Rattus norvegicus: one gene and its partners. The main gene of each other region encodes a partner of the protein of the gene in region 3 in a complex. Links are inferred from orthologs where the notes say so. Each region holds a gene or a part of one and is shown on either strand. Other genes may lie near its edges. The genes, in order: Ccnd3, Ccnd1 and Cdk4.

The links.
Region 1: the proteins of Cdk4 (region 3) and Ccnd3 are in contact, whole or in part, in a crystal structure (PDB 7SJ3), measured with the Homo sapiens proteins. The link is inferred for Rattus norvegicus from reciprocal best matches to the Homo sapiens genes CDK4 and CCND3. Residues at the interface, in NP_000066.1 of Homo sapiens: Gly46, Gly47, Gly48, Leu49, Ile51, Thr53, Val54, Arg55, Val57, Ala58, Leu59, Arg61, Arg62, Glu64, Ala65, Phe66, Val77, Ala79, Val89, Asp129, His132, Ala133, Asn134, Cys135, Arg163, Ile164, Tyr165, Ser166, Tyr167, Gln168; in NP_001751.1 of Homo sapiens: His11, Pro13, Arg14, Ala15, Gly16, Pro17, Asp18, Arg20, Leu21, Arg26, Val27, Ser30, Leu31, Arg33, Leu34, Arg37, Tyr38, Glu74, Lys112, Leu113, Arg114, Glu115, Thr116, Pro118, Ile121, Glu122, Pro134, Arg138, Glu141, Val142.
Region 2: the proteins of Cdk4 (region 3) and Ccnd1 are in contact, whole or in part, in a crystal structure (PDB 2W96), measured with the Homo sapiens proteins. The link is inferred for Rattus norvegicus from reciprocal best matches to the Homo sapiens genes CDK4 and CCND1. Residues at the interface, in NP_000066.1 of Homo sapiens: Gly45, Gly48, Leu49, Ile51, Thr53, Val54, Arg55, Val57, Ala58, Leu59, Arg61, Arg62, Ala65, Phe66, Asp76, Val77, Cys78, Ala79, Arg82, Ile87, Val89, Asp129, His132, Ala133, Asn134, Cys135, Ser285, Phe287, Arg288; in NP_444284.1 of Homo sapiens: Leu6, Cys7, Cys8, Glu9, Val10, Thr12, Ile13, Ala30, Lys33, Ala34, Thr37, Phe108, Lys112, Met113, Glu115, Pro118, Leu119, Thr120, Ala121, Leu138, Gln139, Glu141, Leu142, Val145, Asn146, Lys149, Trp150, Asn151, Leu152, Ala153.

Annotation. Positions count from the first base shown.
Region 1 is NC_086027.1:20,894,807-20,899,295, forward strand, and holds the start of Ccnd3 (G1/S-specific cyclin-D3), read right to left. Parts: upstream 3,070-4,489; 5' UTR 2,906-3,069; coding exon 2,708-2,905; intron 1,821-2,707; coding exon 1,605-1,820; intron 1-1,604. UniProt on the Homo sapiens protein: Regulatory component of the cyclin D3-CDK4 (DC) complex that phosphorylates and inhibits members of the retinoblastoma (RB) protein family including RB1 and regulates the cell-cycle during G(1)/S transition.
Region 2 is NC_086019.1:209,524,817-209,529,298, forward strand, and holds the start of Ccnd1 (G1/S-specific cyclin-D1), read right to left. Parts: upstream 2,995-4,482; 5' UTR 2,870-2,994; coding exon 2,672-2,869; intron 1,281-2,671; coding exon 1,065-1,280; intron 526-1,064; coding exon 366-525; intron 1-365. UniProt on the Homo sapiens protein: Regulatory component of the cyclin D1-CDK4 (DC) complex that phosphorylates and inhibits members of the retinoblastoma (RB) protein family including RB1 and regulates the cell-cycle during G(1)/S transition.
Region 3 is NC_086025.1:64,769,866-64,774,499, forward strand, and holds the start of Cdk4 (cyclin-dependent kinase 4), read left to right. Parts: upstream 1-1,587; 5' UTR 1,588-1,728; intron 1,729-2,183; 5' UTR 2,184-2,199; coding exon 2,200-2,417; intron 2,418-2,548; coding exon 2,549-2,684; intron 2,685-2,796; coding exon 2,797-2,964; intron 2,965-3,113; coding exon 3,114-3,223; intron 3,224-3,929; coding exon 3,930-3,980; intron 3,981-4,068; coding exon 4,069-4,204; intron 4,205-4,634.

The DNA of each region.
Region 1 (4,489 bases), on a different chromosome or scaffold from region 3:
GCGTGGTCCTCACTGAGGCTAGGTGGACACCCTCCCCCATCTCCAGACATGAAAATCGCAGCCCTACTCCAAGAACATAGGAGCTGGCTGCATGTAACCCATCCCTGGTTTCAAGGCGCTCTGGTCGGAATTTTCCCCTCCTTTCTGGGGCCTCTGCTCCGCTGTGCGGATTGAGACTGCTGGAGTTCTTGGAGTCCCTCACAACTCTGACCGCAGGCCACTCACAGCTCAGGGCCTTGAGCAGGAGAAGGGCTTGCCTATTCTGAAAAACTCCCCTCACACACAGCCATGTAGACCACCCTAATCTCTTCACAAAGAGTAAAGTCTCCTACCTCCCAGCCTCAATCCCTCAAAAAAACATCTTGCTCCCTGGCTCTGGAAACTACTAGATTCATCACAAAGAACTGTGGGGCCTCCCGGATTCCCAACTCAGGCCTCCCATCCGTGAGAGTTGCTTGACAGGAAGAGGAATCCAGTTCCCCGACTCACAGCAGTCAGGGGCCCCAGTACCCTAGCTTCCCAGCCAGCCAATCACAGTAGTCTGCCTGCTGCCCTCCTCCCTAGGAGATGGGGCCCAGAGACTCCTCTCAGGGTCAGAGAAGGCCTGGCCAGCCACAGAACAAGGTGGAGGGAGGTGCCAGCTCACCCACCCTCTCCCCCAGACCCTATGGGAGAGGACGTTCATGCTCTCTTCCAGATTCAAGCAGATCTCCCACCTCCTCCCTAGACTCCTCCGGGGCAGGGCAGAACCCAACCGATTTTTGCCCCGCCTGGAGGAGCCCAGCCCAAGTTCCCAGCAAGAGGCCCCAAGGAGCCACTTCCCAAACCACAGGAGTGACAGCAGCTCCCCACAGGGTTATGAAAGCCCTTGGTCTGAGTGGGAGGGCCAAGGGGACCAGCATCATTATCACATCGGAAGCAGCTGCAGCTCAGCTCCCTGTCTGTCTCAGCTCTGGCCTTTGGCTGAGCAGCAAAGGGAGAAACTCTTCCACTGGCCCAGAGCAGCTGCTCCAGTTTTTCAGAAGGAAGACAAGAAAGGGAGGGTTAGGAAGGGGCTGTGTCTTTGGGGATAGGAGGCAAAGGGATGAAAACACCTCGGTGCTTCCTTCCAGCAATCAGGGCCTGGCTTTAATCAGCTCCGGGAGGCTTTTCCATCACAAAGTCCACACGGGGATAAAGACTCCTGCAAGGCAGCCCCCTCCCCCACGTGAAGCACATTCCACTCCGGTGGGGGTGTGCAGACATACCCTGCTGTTGCCAATAAATAACTCAGGGTGGCTGTGTAAACCCAGAGGCAAAGTACTGGTGTATAGACCCGCAATTGGACTTGTTGCTATCTGGGGGGAAAACGAGTTAGGATTGGAACTCCACTGCAGTCAGAGGAAAGGGGTTCATTTAGTTTTAAGCTTGCAGCTGAAGCATGACTACTACACTACACGGCCTTTGTCCCACCCTAGTTCTTTTCCAAAATATCAGGCAGGAGGGAAGGGAGGGTTGGTGAGTGAGGGGGTGAGCTTGGTGTTTCTTTTACTAGTACATAGGCGATAGTATGTTGTTGTTGTTGTTGTTGTTGTTTTTTGGGGGGGGAGGGATTCTGCACGCACCCGCAACTGCCAGGGAGCCACAGCTTGGTCCGTATAGATGCAGAGCTTCTCAATAGTCAGGGGCGTGGTTTCGCGCAGCTTGGAGGCCAGCAACAGGCAGACGGTACCTAGAAGCTGCAGTTGCGCCTTTCGGGTGGGGACGCAGGACAGGTAGCGATCCAGGTAGTTCATAGCCAGAGGGAAGACATCCTCCTCGCAGCGCTGCTCCTCACACACCTGAGGGAGGGCGCACGAGTCATTGCTAGGGAAGGACCAAGTGAAACACGGCAGCATGGGCGGCAGCGGGGGGGGGGGGCGGAGGGAGAGTGGAATGTGGAGCAAAAAATAAACCAAGAAGGGATAAACTTAGAACGACAAGTATCAATAACCGAGGAGGATGTGCCCTCCCCAAGGTGACCCCCCCACTTCCTCTGCATGATCTCCTCCCTACCCCGGAGTAGGGGGTGTAAAACAGAGAAGCCCATGCTCACGAAAGATTCCAGACTCCCCTCCCCCACGGCGAGCGGAAGGGGGACGTAAGGGTCACCTAGAGAGAATTGGGACCTTACCCTCATTACCGCCACCCACTGCACACACACTCCCAGGGGGAAGGGAGGGAACTCCTGCCGCGGTCTCCCGCACTTTTCATTTCCCTGTGGACCGGAACCGAGCCCGCGCCACCCCCACCCACCAGTTTCCCCCCCGACAGAACCCCGCGACAGACACAGGAACCAGTTCTGGGGCGAAGGCGGCCGAGCCCAAGGTTTTCCAAACGCGCTCTCCAGAGAGCACGGGGTGAGGAAGGAAGCAGGAGACACCGAGAAAAGCCACTGGGGAAAAAGTGGCCCTTAGCCCGCTTTCCCGACCCAAAGTGAAGCTTAGTTACAGTGCCAAGTGGCTGGCAGTCACAGAAGAAGCCGATCAGGGTTGGGGAAAGGAAAGGGACAGAACGCAGGCAGCTGGTTAGGGTGCCTGTGTGAAAAGGCCAGGCCCCTGTAAGTCTGGGCCGTCAAAGCATCTTGCAGATTGTGGTCGGGATCGGGAAGCACGAACAGGGAAAGTTCAATTTGCCCAGAGCCGGGGGTGGGGGTGGGGTGAGGAGAGGGGACCCGTCCGGGCCTTACCTCCAGCATCCAGTACGCCAGCATCTTCCGCATGTGCGGCTTGATCTCCTTTTGCACGCACTGGAAGTAGGAGGCTCGCGGCACGTAGCGCTCCTCCAAGCGGAGCAAACTCTGCAGGACACGCTGGTCCCCCAGTAGCCGCGGGTCGGGCCCGGCCCGGGGCGCGTGCCGGGTGCCCTCGCAACACAGCAGCTCCATCCTGCTATGGCTCACGGGTGAGAGCAGGAGTGCGGGCTAGCGAGTCCTAGGAGAAGCGACGCGTGTGAGTGAGAGCGCGGGGTGCGGGCGGGTCTGGCGCTGGCGCTGGCACTGTGCGGAGAAGCCCCAGCCCGCCCGCCACCCGCGCGCACCGCTTCCCTGACAGGCGCCCCGCCCCTCGCGACGATGTAGCAACCGTGGAATGCTCCGACGTCACAACGTTCTAAGGGGCGGGACCGCAGACGGAAAGGGCTGGCGGGCGCTATACCCTCCCTCCCTCCCCGGAGCCCCATTGGTCCGCTGGGCTCCGGCCCGCAGGCTTCCGGGCCCTCGGGTCCCTTCTGACCAAGAGGGTGGAGAGAACTTTCTGGGAGGGTGCCCTCTTCCCCATCAATGGGCCCTGTCGCGACTCTAGCCACCCAAGAAAGAACTAGTCGCCAAAAGTTATTCGTTCGCGTATGCGTCCTATTTCAATGCTCTAGGGAATGTGGTAATAACTGCGTACGTAGTTGGGTCACTCTTCCCCTCAAGTGGGTTCTAGGAATGGACTTGAGTTGGGCTTTACTTTGCAGATAGAAGCACAGTAGTAGCTGCAAAGATCTCATTGTTAGTCTGTCGGGAAACGTGGCTTAGAACCTAGTCTACTTCAACGAATTCCGCAGATCTGCTGCAGCAGCAGCAGCAGCAGCAGCAGCAGCAGCAGCAGCAGCAGCAGCAGCAGCAGCAGGAGGGAGCTGAGCGGAAATGTAGTTTCCGACCGATTCAGTGTCTCAGGGTAAACCATCCCCGCACTAAGTCTGACAATCTGAGTATGGTCCCTGGGACCCACATGGTGGAAGAAAAGAAAGCGACTCCCATAAGTTGTCCTCTAACTTCCACACGATTGCTGTAGCATGTACACACGCCCCCGCATGCACACACACAATTTAAAAAAAAAAAAAAAGTAAAAGAAGAAATGCAGTTTCTCAGGTCTGCTGAATGGGACACTGCATTGCTCCAGGGGAGGTATGAGCAGTGTTGGTCATATTAAAAGCCATTTGGAGCTGGATGTGGTGGTGCAAATCTGTAATCTCATAACCTGGCTAATGCCATGATCCACTATACAGGCACTTCAAGGCCAGCCTGACTTCATGAAACTGACAGTCTCTGTCTCTCTGTCTCTCTCTGTCTCTGTCTCTCTCTGTCTCTCTCACATACACACACAGAGACAGAGACAGAGAAACTGCTGCAGATGTAGCTGAGGTTGTAGAGCCCAGGGTTCGATCCCCAGCACTGTAGAACCTAGAAATGATCAAAAGATTAAGGTCACTGTTGGCTTCCTAATGAGTTCAGGACCAGCCTGGGCTACATAAGATTCTATCTCAAAAGCAAAAAGCAACCACACCAAATAACAATAGCCTATGCTTCTTATACCAGGACTTCAGAGCTGACAGAACGATGGTAAGTTTCCAGACCAGCCTGGACTATAGAATGAGACCCTGTCTCTGAACAAAACAATAACAATAACAGATCAGCGTATTGCAGATTTGGGCATGATGGCACATGCCTGTAATCAAATGCTTGGGAGAAGGTAGGAGGCCCGTG
Region 2 (4,482 bases), on a different chromosome or scaffold from region 3:
TTTGCCCCACCCTTGTAGGCACCCCTAGTAGGTGGCTCAGCCTGAGAGAAGCTAGGAGGGGGGCTCTATAGCTTTGTCTCCGTGTGAACACAGGCAGGGCAGGAAGCTTAGGAGCAGAGGCAAAAACCTCTTCAGAAAGCATGCAGTGGTTATACCACTTCCTGGCAGTGGAAAGGTTGGCACAGGGAGGCCGGGCCATTCTGTTAGGTCTCCAAGGCACTAGCCAAGACGGTGCCACCTAGTATCACCTATCTCCAACAAGCTGCCTGCACCCCGGGCTCAGAGCAGATAGCAAGGAATGAGGCATTAGCCTGGGAACTGCAAGGAGTCAGATGTGCCCGGGAAGAGTCAGGGCGGGGCCCTACCTGTGGCACAGAGGGCCACAAAGGTCTGTGCATGTTTGCGGATGATCTGCTTGTTCTCATCCGCCTCTGGCATTTTGGAGAGGAAGTGTTCGATGAAATCGTGGGGAGTCATGGCGGCCAGGTTCCATTTGAGCTTGTTCACCAGAAGCAGTTCCATTTGCTGCAGAGAATGAGGAACTCGGTCAAAAGAAAGGCAGGCTGATTCAAGAAGGTCTTAAGAGTGGGGACATCCGGGGGTTGGGGATTTAGCTCAGAGGTAGCCCTGGGTTCGGTCCCCAGCTCCGAAAAAAAAGAAAAAAGGAAAAAAAAAGAAAAAAAGAGTGGGGACATCCTGGGACCCCATATAGGTAAACAACAAAATGTGCCTGTAGAAAGTCTGAAGGGACAGACAAGCTATGGACAAAAAGACCTCCCACGGCCAGCGCTGCGGCCCGGGCGTCGCTAGGGGGCGCACACCGCCTACAGTTCAGAGCTGTTCCACCGCAGACTCGGTGGGGAGTCCGGAAAGGGGGCGGGCACAGAGGTAGAATGGGGTTGGGATTCTCTGCCCACTGCCACTTCGGTGTCATGCAGTGTGGGTGCCATCCATGGGGCAGGAGATTTGTCCATGGATGGCTGGACCTCCTGCCCCTTAAATCTCCCACCACTCAGGGATCGAGCAGCTAATGGAGGATTACGGGTGGTGGGTTAAGCAGTTACCAGCAACTCCTCGGGGCGGATAGAGTTGTCAGTGTAGATGCACAACTTCTCGGCAGTCAGGGGAATGGTCTCCTTCATCTTAGAGGCCACGAACATGCAGGTGGCCCCCAGAAGCTGCAGGCGGCTCTTCTTCAGGGGCTCCAGAGACAAGAAACGGTCCAGGTAGTTCATGGCCAGCGGGAAGACCTCCTCTTCGCACTTCTGCTCCTCGCAGACCTGCGGGAACCCGGACCCTGACCGTCAACGGGGGAGGGGGGTGTCGCTCGATGTGACCCCGCACCCTTTTTATAGATTGCACAGAGGGATTCCGGTGGCCAATTCCGGGGGATGCGCTCTAGCCCTGCGGGTTCCCAGTACCCACCCATCATGAAACTGAAAGGGAAAGTCCTTGGGCAGCTGGCGCGGCGGATCGAGGCAGTGGTGGCCACGGAGACCCCCGTCCCCGTTGAAATTAGGAAGCCACAAGGCAGGGAAGCCCACCGTAGGGTTGGCGGAGCGCCGGGGGCTGGGCACCGCTCAAGCGCACGCGAGACACAAAGGTGGCGTCCCAGGCCGCCGCGCTGCATTTCCCAGACGTCATCTTTTCAAAAAATATTTAAAAATATTTAAAAAATAACTAGGTGCCTAAAAACGGCCTGAAAATAACAATAGGGCTACCCTTGATCCAAGCCGAGGGTCAGGAGCTCGGTGGACATTGGGGGATAAGTCCCAGCAACTCAAACTTCGGGGGCCCCCCTTTTGCTGGGTGCGGGCGCTGTTTGCCTCTGCAAGGGCATTATAACTCACTTTAAAAATTATTTTAAAATATTTTGGAACCCTTGAGCCTCCTGTTGAACAACTGAAAATGTGCTTTGGTCCCCCGGCTTGACCCAGACAGGTTCCCCCAAATGCAGACCCGCACGGACAACAGTCAATCTCGGTGACTAGGGGGCCACGCGACCTTGCAGTCTAGCGTTTTCTCTGGGCCAGGCAGCGTGTGCGGGGTGCCCAGGGGTCCGTTGTTTGAACAAAGAGTCTCCCACCCCCAAATATTCCTCACAGTGTCCTATTTAGTGACTCCCGGCCGCCACGAGGCCCCTCGTGCCCGTCCCAGCGCCCCTTCTGCCACTCTCCGCCCTGCCCCCAATTATTAATAAACACTTTTGCTTTGCAATAAAGGAGCAAAGATGGCGCATAATATTGGCACGAGCGGCCCTTGCATACGTGTCCATGGATATTAATTTAAAAATCAAATCTATGCCCCCTCCCCCCTTAGCTGGCGCTACGCGCAGGGGCGGCCCCCGCTGAGGCGCTGCAGGAATGGGGCACAAGCGGGGGCCACAGAAGAAGCTCAGCCTGCATCCTCTGTGGTGTCTCTGACACGGTCCTCCCTGGAAGGCACCCCTCCCCGACTGCCCCCCCCCACCAGGAAAAGAAATTCCTATCGCCCCAACTCCTAAACCTTTCCCGTTCAAAAGGACCCGAAAGTGTCTATTTATTTTGTGAATCCCGAGTCCTAGCAACACACCGGGAAAAATCCGTGACGGAAAGGAAGAGAAGGGAAGAAGATGTCGGTGATAGCAACAAGTTGCCAGGGGGTCCCAAGCTAGCAGCCTGTAGTTTCTCACCTCTAGCATCCAGGTGGCCACGATTTTCCGCATGGATGGCACAATCTCCCTCTGCACGCACTTGAAGTAAGAAACGGAGGGCGCGCAGGTCTCCTCAGTCTTAAGCATGGCTCGCAGCACCCGGTCGTTGAGGAGATTGGTGTCAGGGTACGCGCGGCGGATGGTCTCCACTTCGCAGCACAGGAGCTGGTGTTCCATGGCGCGGCCGCCTGGGGAGGGCTGTGGTCCGGGTTGGGCTCCGGTGTCTGCTGCTGACGCGCGCTGCCTCGCGCTCTACGACCGGTCTCCGGAGCGCGCGGAGTCTGCAGCTCTCTGCTACTGCGCCAACAGCCCTCTGGAGGCTGCAGGACTTTGCAACTTCAACAAAACTCCCCTGTAGTCCGAGTGACGTTACTGTTGTTAAGCAGAGATCAAAGCCGGGCAGAGAAAAAGGAGGGGGGGCGGGCCGAGGCGGGCGCAGGGGGAGGGGGCTCGGGAGCAGTGAGCGGCGGGGGTGGGGGGGGACAAACCCAAAGCCTGCCCCCTCCCCCCTCGGCCTTCGTAGATATGCAAATCGCCGGGACTGCTTCTCTCTAAGCTGGGAAAGAGCGGGGCAAGGGCAATGGGGAGGGGGGCTTCTTTCCCCAAGTGGGTCCTCCGAGACCTGTGAAGGTGGGGTAGCGGCGGCTCTGGACAGGGGGACAGCTAGGAGGGAGGCCAGGCCACACGCAAGCCAAGAAAGAATGTATGGAAGGGGATCGTGGGGGGTGCAAGGACACCCTATACTTAAGCGGAGAGAATGGGCGCGTTTCCGAGGACGCCACGAGGGCACCCACGGGCGGACCGATTGCTAAGAAATCCCGTCGTCCTCGACTTCTTTCAATTTCATCAACACGTGTAAAATTCAGGAACTGTGTAACAGGCGAAGATGCCAGACGAGCCCTAAGTTCTCGTGCAGGCTCCCTCCTGGCGCACTGGGGTGGTTGCAAAGGGCCAGAGGGGTATCTTTGAGCTTTAAAGGGTCCCCAGCCTGGCATGTACTCGCTCAAAAATAAAATAAAATAAAACCCCGAAAATCTCAGCAACAGCTCAAGATGGTGGCCATTATTTCCTTCATCTATTCCTCCTCGCTGGGGGTGGGGTGGGGGTGGGGATGGGGTCTGAGATTTGCCTTCTTACAGTGACCGGTTTATCCTGGCCAGGGTCCTCTGGTATCCCCCTCCTCCACTGCCGGAGAAAAATAAATCTTTGAAGGAAAGGTTGAGACACGATAGGCTCTTTGTGTAATTTATTTTTTAATTAAGAAAAGTAAATCGCTGCAAGTATTAGTTGCCCTTCCAGGAACCAGACCACCGGAAGCTTCCCGATTGGCTTCGTTGGGGGTGTGTTTTGTGTTCCCCCACCTTTAGAATTGCAGCTGGGGCAGCCTTACAGAGTTTGGGGGTGGGGACTGGTGAGAATCAAGATAAATGTGTGAGCCGATAAGGTGATATTTAAAGACATTCTATAGATACTCGTGGATACCAGAATGGATCCCTAAGCCTATTTTAAATTTATAGTCAAATATTTTTAGAATGAAGAGGTTCCACCACCTTGGTCTATTACTTATTTCCCTAGTTTTGGGAACGTTTTCACAGTATCCGACCCCAAGTTAGGCGAACTATTCACATATTCTCCCCGGAATACTTTCGTGTCCCCGAAGAAACTGGTAAGGGAGCGCAAGGCGTCTAGGCGGCACGCAAGACACAAACCCCTCACTTTCCGAGCTCATTCCTCTTGCCCTCCCTCCCCCGACATTGGGGTCCCTGAAGTCCGGATCCTTCGGGACAGTG
Region 3 (4,634 bases):
GCTACATGTCAAGACCCAGTCTCAAAAAAAAAAAAATACAGAGAAAGGAAAAGAGAGAAATGAAAAAGAGCGTGTTACATGCATGCCTTTACACTTAGTTCTTGGGAGATGGAGCAGGAGGGTCAAGTATTTGAGTACATGTCCATTTTAAGACCAACCTGGGCTATATGAGACCTTGTTTCATTAAAACAAAACAGTAAAAACAGCCAAAGTAGTTGCTCATGTCTGTAAAAACAGCATTTAGAGGCTATGGCACCAAGATTGCTATTGAGACCAGCCTCCTCAGCTATAGTGTCTCAAATATGATTTGAGAGTTTAAAGTTCAGGAATATAGCTCAGTGACTGAACCAATTCTTACTACATATAAAAACACTGACTCCAATCCTCGGCACCAAAAATAGGTCTAGATTTTAGCAATTCTTCACAGTTGGGAACATGGTCTTTTATCCTCATGCTCCTAATTGATGGGAGACAATAAAGGAGTTGGAGCCAACCAAATCGTCACACAGATCTACCTCTATCTGACTAGATTTCTGTAGGCAGACCATTTAGGAAACGCTGATCAGGGCAAGGGTACGTTCTAAGCAGGACTGGGGAAAAAAAGGAATGTGACCCCTATGAGGAGTCACAGGTTTGCAGAGGGACACAAGTCATATTCCAGCAATGTGGTGGTGACTGCCCTTGGATGTGCTCACCCTGTTGTCTGTTCATGCAATCACATATATATATAGCAATCTTAGTGTAAAGACACTTGTAAGATCAAGAACCCTTATTTCCAATAACTTCTTGCTGCTTTTAATATTCCTGGGGAGGTTTACAAGTTGGGAAGAAGGAGGGCATTACATTGTCGCCCCCCATACAGCGGCTTACTATGTTAATCTTCTTCTATCCATCTTTTAGTTTCCTCCTCGGATAGAAATTGTCTACTCCCTGTTTTTATAAGACCACGGTTGCCTTATTAGCTATCTTTATCATCACTTCAAAGGGCGGAGTGACTGAGACACCAAAACAAAAACATCGCATACCAACTGGAAGGAAGCACTTAGTAAAATTTTGTTGAATGAATGAGTAAAATGAAGACACAAATACGAATGTTTCCCCATGGCGGTGGAGTGGAAATGTTACAGCACCATCTCTGGCACCAGGATCTCCCACTAGCACCTCGACCTCCCGCCCACATAGAGACGCGTAGTGAGACTGAAGATGCTCTCAGGCTCGGCCTTGAGCTGAGCGTTGAGAGCTGGTTGGCCCGGTTGCCATGGCACCGCCTTGTGCCCCACCCTCTCTCGCCCCCACACACCCCCTCCGCAGTCAGGGTTTGGCAGCCGGTCACGTGCCACACAGCGTAACCACACCTCCGCTTCTCAGCGCAAAGTAAAGGGGTCACGTGGGATAGCAACAGGTCACGTGGCAGTACAGGTCCCGCCCTCTTCCCCCACCACACCCCTCCCATCAAAGGGGCCCCGGTCGCCGAGTGCGCATGGGTGGAGGTCACGTGTCCAGAACGTCCGCCGTCGGCCCCGCCTCCCGGGTTTCCGCGCGCCTCTCTGGCAGCTGGTCACATGGTGAGGGTGGGGGTGAGGGGGCCTCTCTAGCTCGCGGCCTGTGTCTATGGTCTGGCCCGAAGCGTCCAGCTGCCCGGGACCGATCCCCGGTGTATGGCGCCGCAGGAAACGGCTCCCGGGCCCAGATAAAGGGCCACCTCCGCAGCTCTTGGCCGAGCGTAAGGTGAGTGCAACCCTTTCCAGAAGCGGGGGGCCAGTCCCCACGAGCACTAGCACCCTCCAGCTCCCCACGCGTGCGCGTCGCTGGCTGAGTATGGAAGGTGGCCCAATGGCGGGAAGTGGGGCCTTTGTGGTCGTGGGCGAGGGTGTGATTTCAGAGAGTGAAGCGCAGACTGTTCCATGCAAGCCCTGTGCACTGTGATCTTCTTTGTGCCGGGCGCAATGGTCCTCCGAAAGAAAAGAAAGCATTCTTTTCTTCCTCCAGGACAAAACGTGGCTGGAAGAGGGTTTGTTGGAAGTCTTTGTGTTACCTAAGGAGCGCGGGCCCTGGATGTGTGGAGGGTGGGATGCTGGTGATAATGTTGGTGAGGTCTTGTGCAGGAGTTTCTTTGTTACTGCCGGGTCATCTCCTCCTAACTGTGAGAGAGAGCTTGGTATTAGAAGCCTCTGTGATTGTAGATCCCCTGCTCCGAGAATGGCTACCACTCGATATGAACCCGTGGCTGAAATTGGTGTCGGTGCCTATGGGACGGTGTACAAAGCCCGAGATCCCCACAGTGGCCACTTTGTGGCTCTCAAGAGTGTGAGAGTTCCTAATGGAGGAGCAGCTGGAGGGGGCCTTCCCGTCAGCACAGTTCGTGAGGTGGCCTTGTTAAGAAGGCTGGAGGCCTTTGAACATCCCAATGTTGTACGGTGAGAAGGTTGGATTGGGAGTGGGGCGGAGAGGACAATAGGACCCGTTAGTCAGGAGTGGGACCCTAGAACGCCAGAGGCCATGTTGAAACAAAGGGGATGGCCAGCTCCTGACCATTTGTTCTTCTCAGGCTGATGGATGTCTGTGCTACTTCCCGAACTGATCGGGACATCAAGGTCACCTTAGTGTTTGAGCATATAGACCAGGACCTACGGACATACCTGGACAAAGCACCTCCGCCGGGCTTGCCTGTTGAGACCATTAAGGTGAGTGGAGGGGTGGGTGGAGGTGGATTGATATGTGCAGTAGAACTTGTTGGGATTTTGGACACAGTGATACATAGTTTCCACAGTTCTCTGCTTCTTTCTTCAAAACCAGGATCTGATGCGCCAGTTTCTAAGCGGCCTAGATTTCCTTCATGCAAACTGCATTGTTCACCGGGACCTGAAGCCAGAGAACATTCTAGTGACAAGTAATGGGACAGTTAAGCTGGCCGACTTTGGCCTAGCCAGAATCTACAGCTACCAGATGGCCCTCACGCCTGTGGTCAGTAAGACAGTAGCCGGAATAGGTTGGGATTCGGGGTAGGGCTTGGTGGTTTCCCAAAGCGACTAAGGAGTCTTGTACTTGAAGTTTTCAGAGCCAAACAGTTGTTTACGAGGACAACACTCACTTATTTCTCCTATTCTCTTTAGGTTGTTACGCTCTGGTACCGGGCTCCTGAAGTTCTTCTGCAGTCTACATATGCAACGCCTGTGGATATGTGGAGTGTTGGCTGTATCTTCGCAGAGATGTTTCGCCGGAAGTATGGGACTAGAAACATTTGTTTTGTTTGCCATGGGACAGGGTTTTTCTGTGTAGCGCTGGCTACACAGAAACGAGATCAGGCAGGCCTTGAACTCTTGCCTCTGCCTCCAGAGTGCAGGAATTAAAGGCATGTACCACCACTGCCTGGCTGGGACTTGAAACTCTTAAGCCACCTTCAGTTCCACAGATCTTTTGCTGCTCTCTCACGGTGCTAGAGGTTGGAATCAGGACTCACGTACACTCAGCCATGCCTCTATTTCTTTTTCTTTTTCTTTTTCTTTTCTTTTTTTTTTTTTTTTTTTTTTTCAGAGCTGGGGACTGAACCCAGGGCCTTGCGCTTGCTAGGCAAGCGCTCTACCACTGAGCTAAATCCCCAACCCCTCAGCCATGCCTCTGTACCACTAAACTAAACACTCTGCCCCAGGTCTTTTACAGACTTATCTGTTCTTGACCATTCTTGTGCATGTACAGTGCAGGATACCCAACCTGGGGTTTCCATAGGCATGGTCCCCTGCCATCCAGCCATAGTCCCAGCCTACCCAGTTCATACCAATCACCTTGCCTAGAAAAGAAACCACATGGGCAAATCTGAAATGCCCTGGATTTAGTAACTTCCTGTTCCTTAGCTCCACACTCTAGTTTGGTCCACTTAACGGTTACTCCGGTTTTTAAAAGAATGTACTTTGACTATCTTTCTACCTTAGGCCTCTCTTCTGTGGGAACTCTGAGGCTGACCAGCTGGGCAAAATCTTTGAGTAAGTATCCACTAAGGAAAAGGAAAGGAACATTCCATAGCAACTGGCTGGGAAGGGGCCCCTCCTGACAGTTGTCCTGTCCCTACAGTCTCATTGGATTGCCTCCAGAAGACGACTGGCCTCGAGAGGTCTCTCTTCCTCGAGGAGCCTTTTCCCCCAGAGGACCTCGGCCAGTGCAGTCAGTGGTGCCGGAGATGGAGGAATCTGGAGCGCAGTTGCTGCTGGTACTGGGCCTGAGCAGGGATTGGGTTAAGACAAGACACGGCATGGCCTGGGAAGCTGGCTCAGTGGGTAGAGCTCCTTTGCATAAGTACTGAGGACCTGAGTTCAAATCCCCAGAATCCACGTAGAAGTCAGGTGCTTCTGTAGTGCCATTCTTGTGGCGAGATGGACAGATCCCCTGGTAAGACAGCAGTGCTGGACTTTGTAAAAGATGGAGGGCAACGACCAGCAGCCCAGACTGCTGAGCTCCACACATAAACACCGGCTTGTGCGTACCCACATTTCCACACATGAGCAAGTGCACACAAAGACAAAACAGAACCTTAGGGGCCCTGGAGCTAAGATTTGGCTATGGACAGTCTGCAAATGGTCAGCCAGAGGAGGATAAAGGAGGCTATTCAGCCACGTTGGGTGGGCATCAGCTCATCAGCT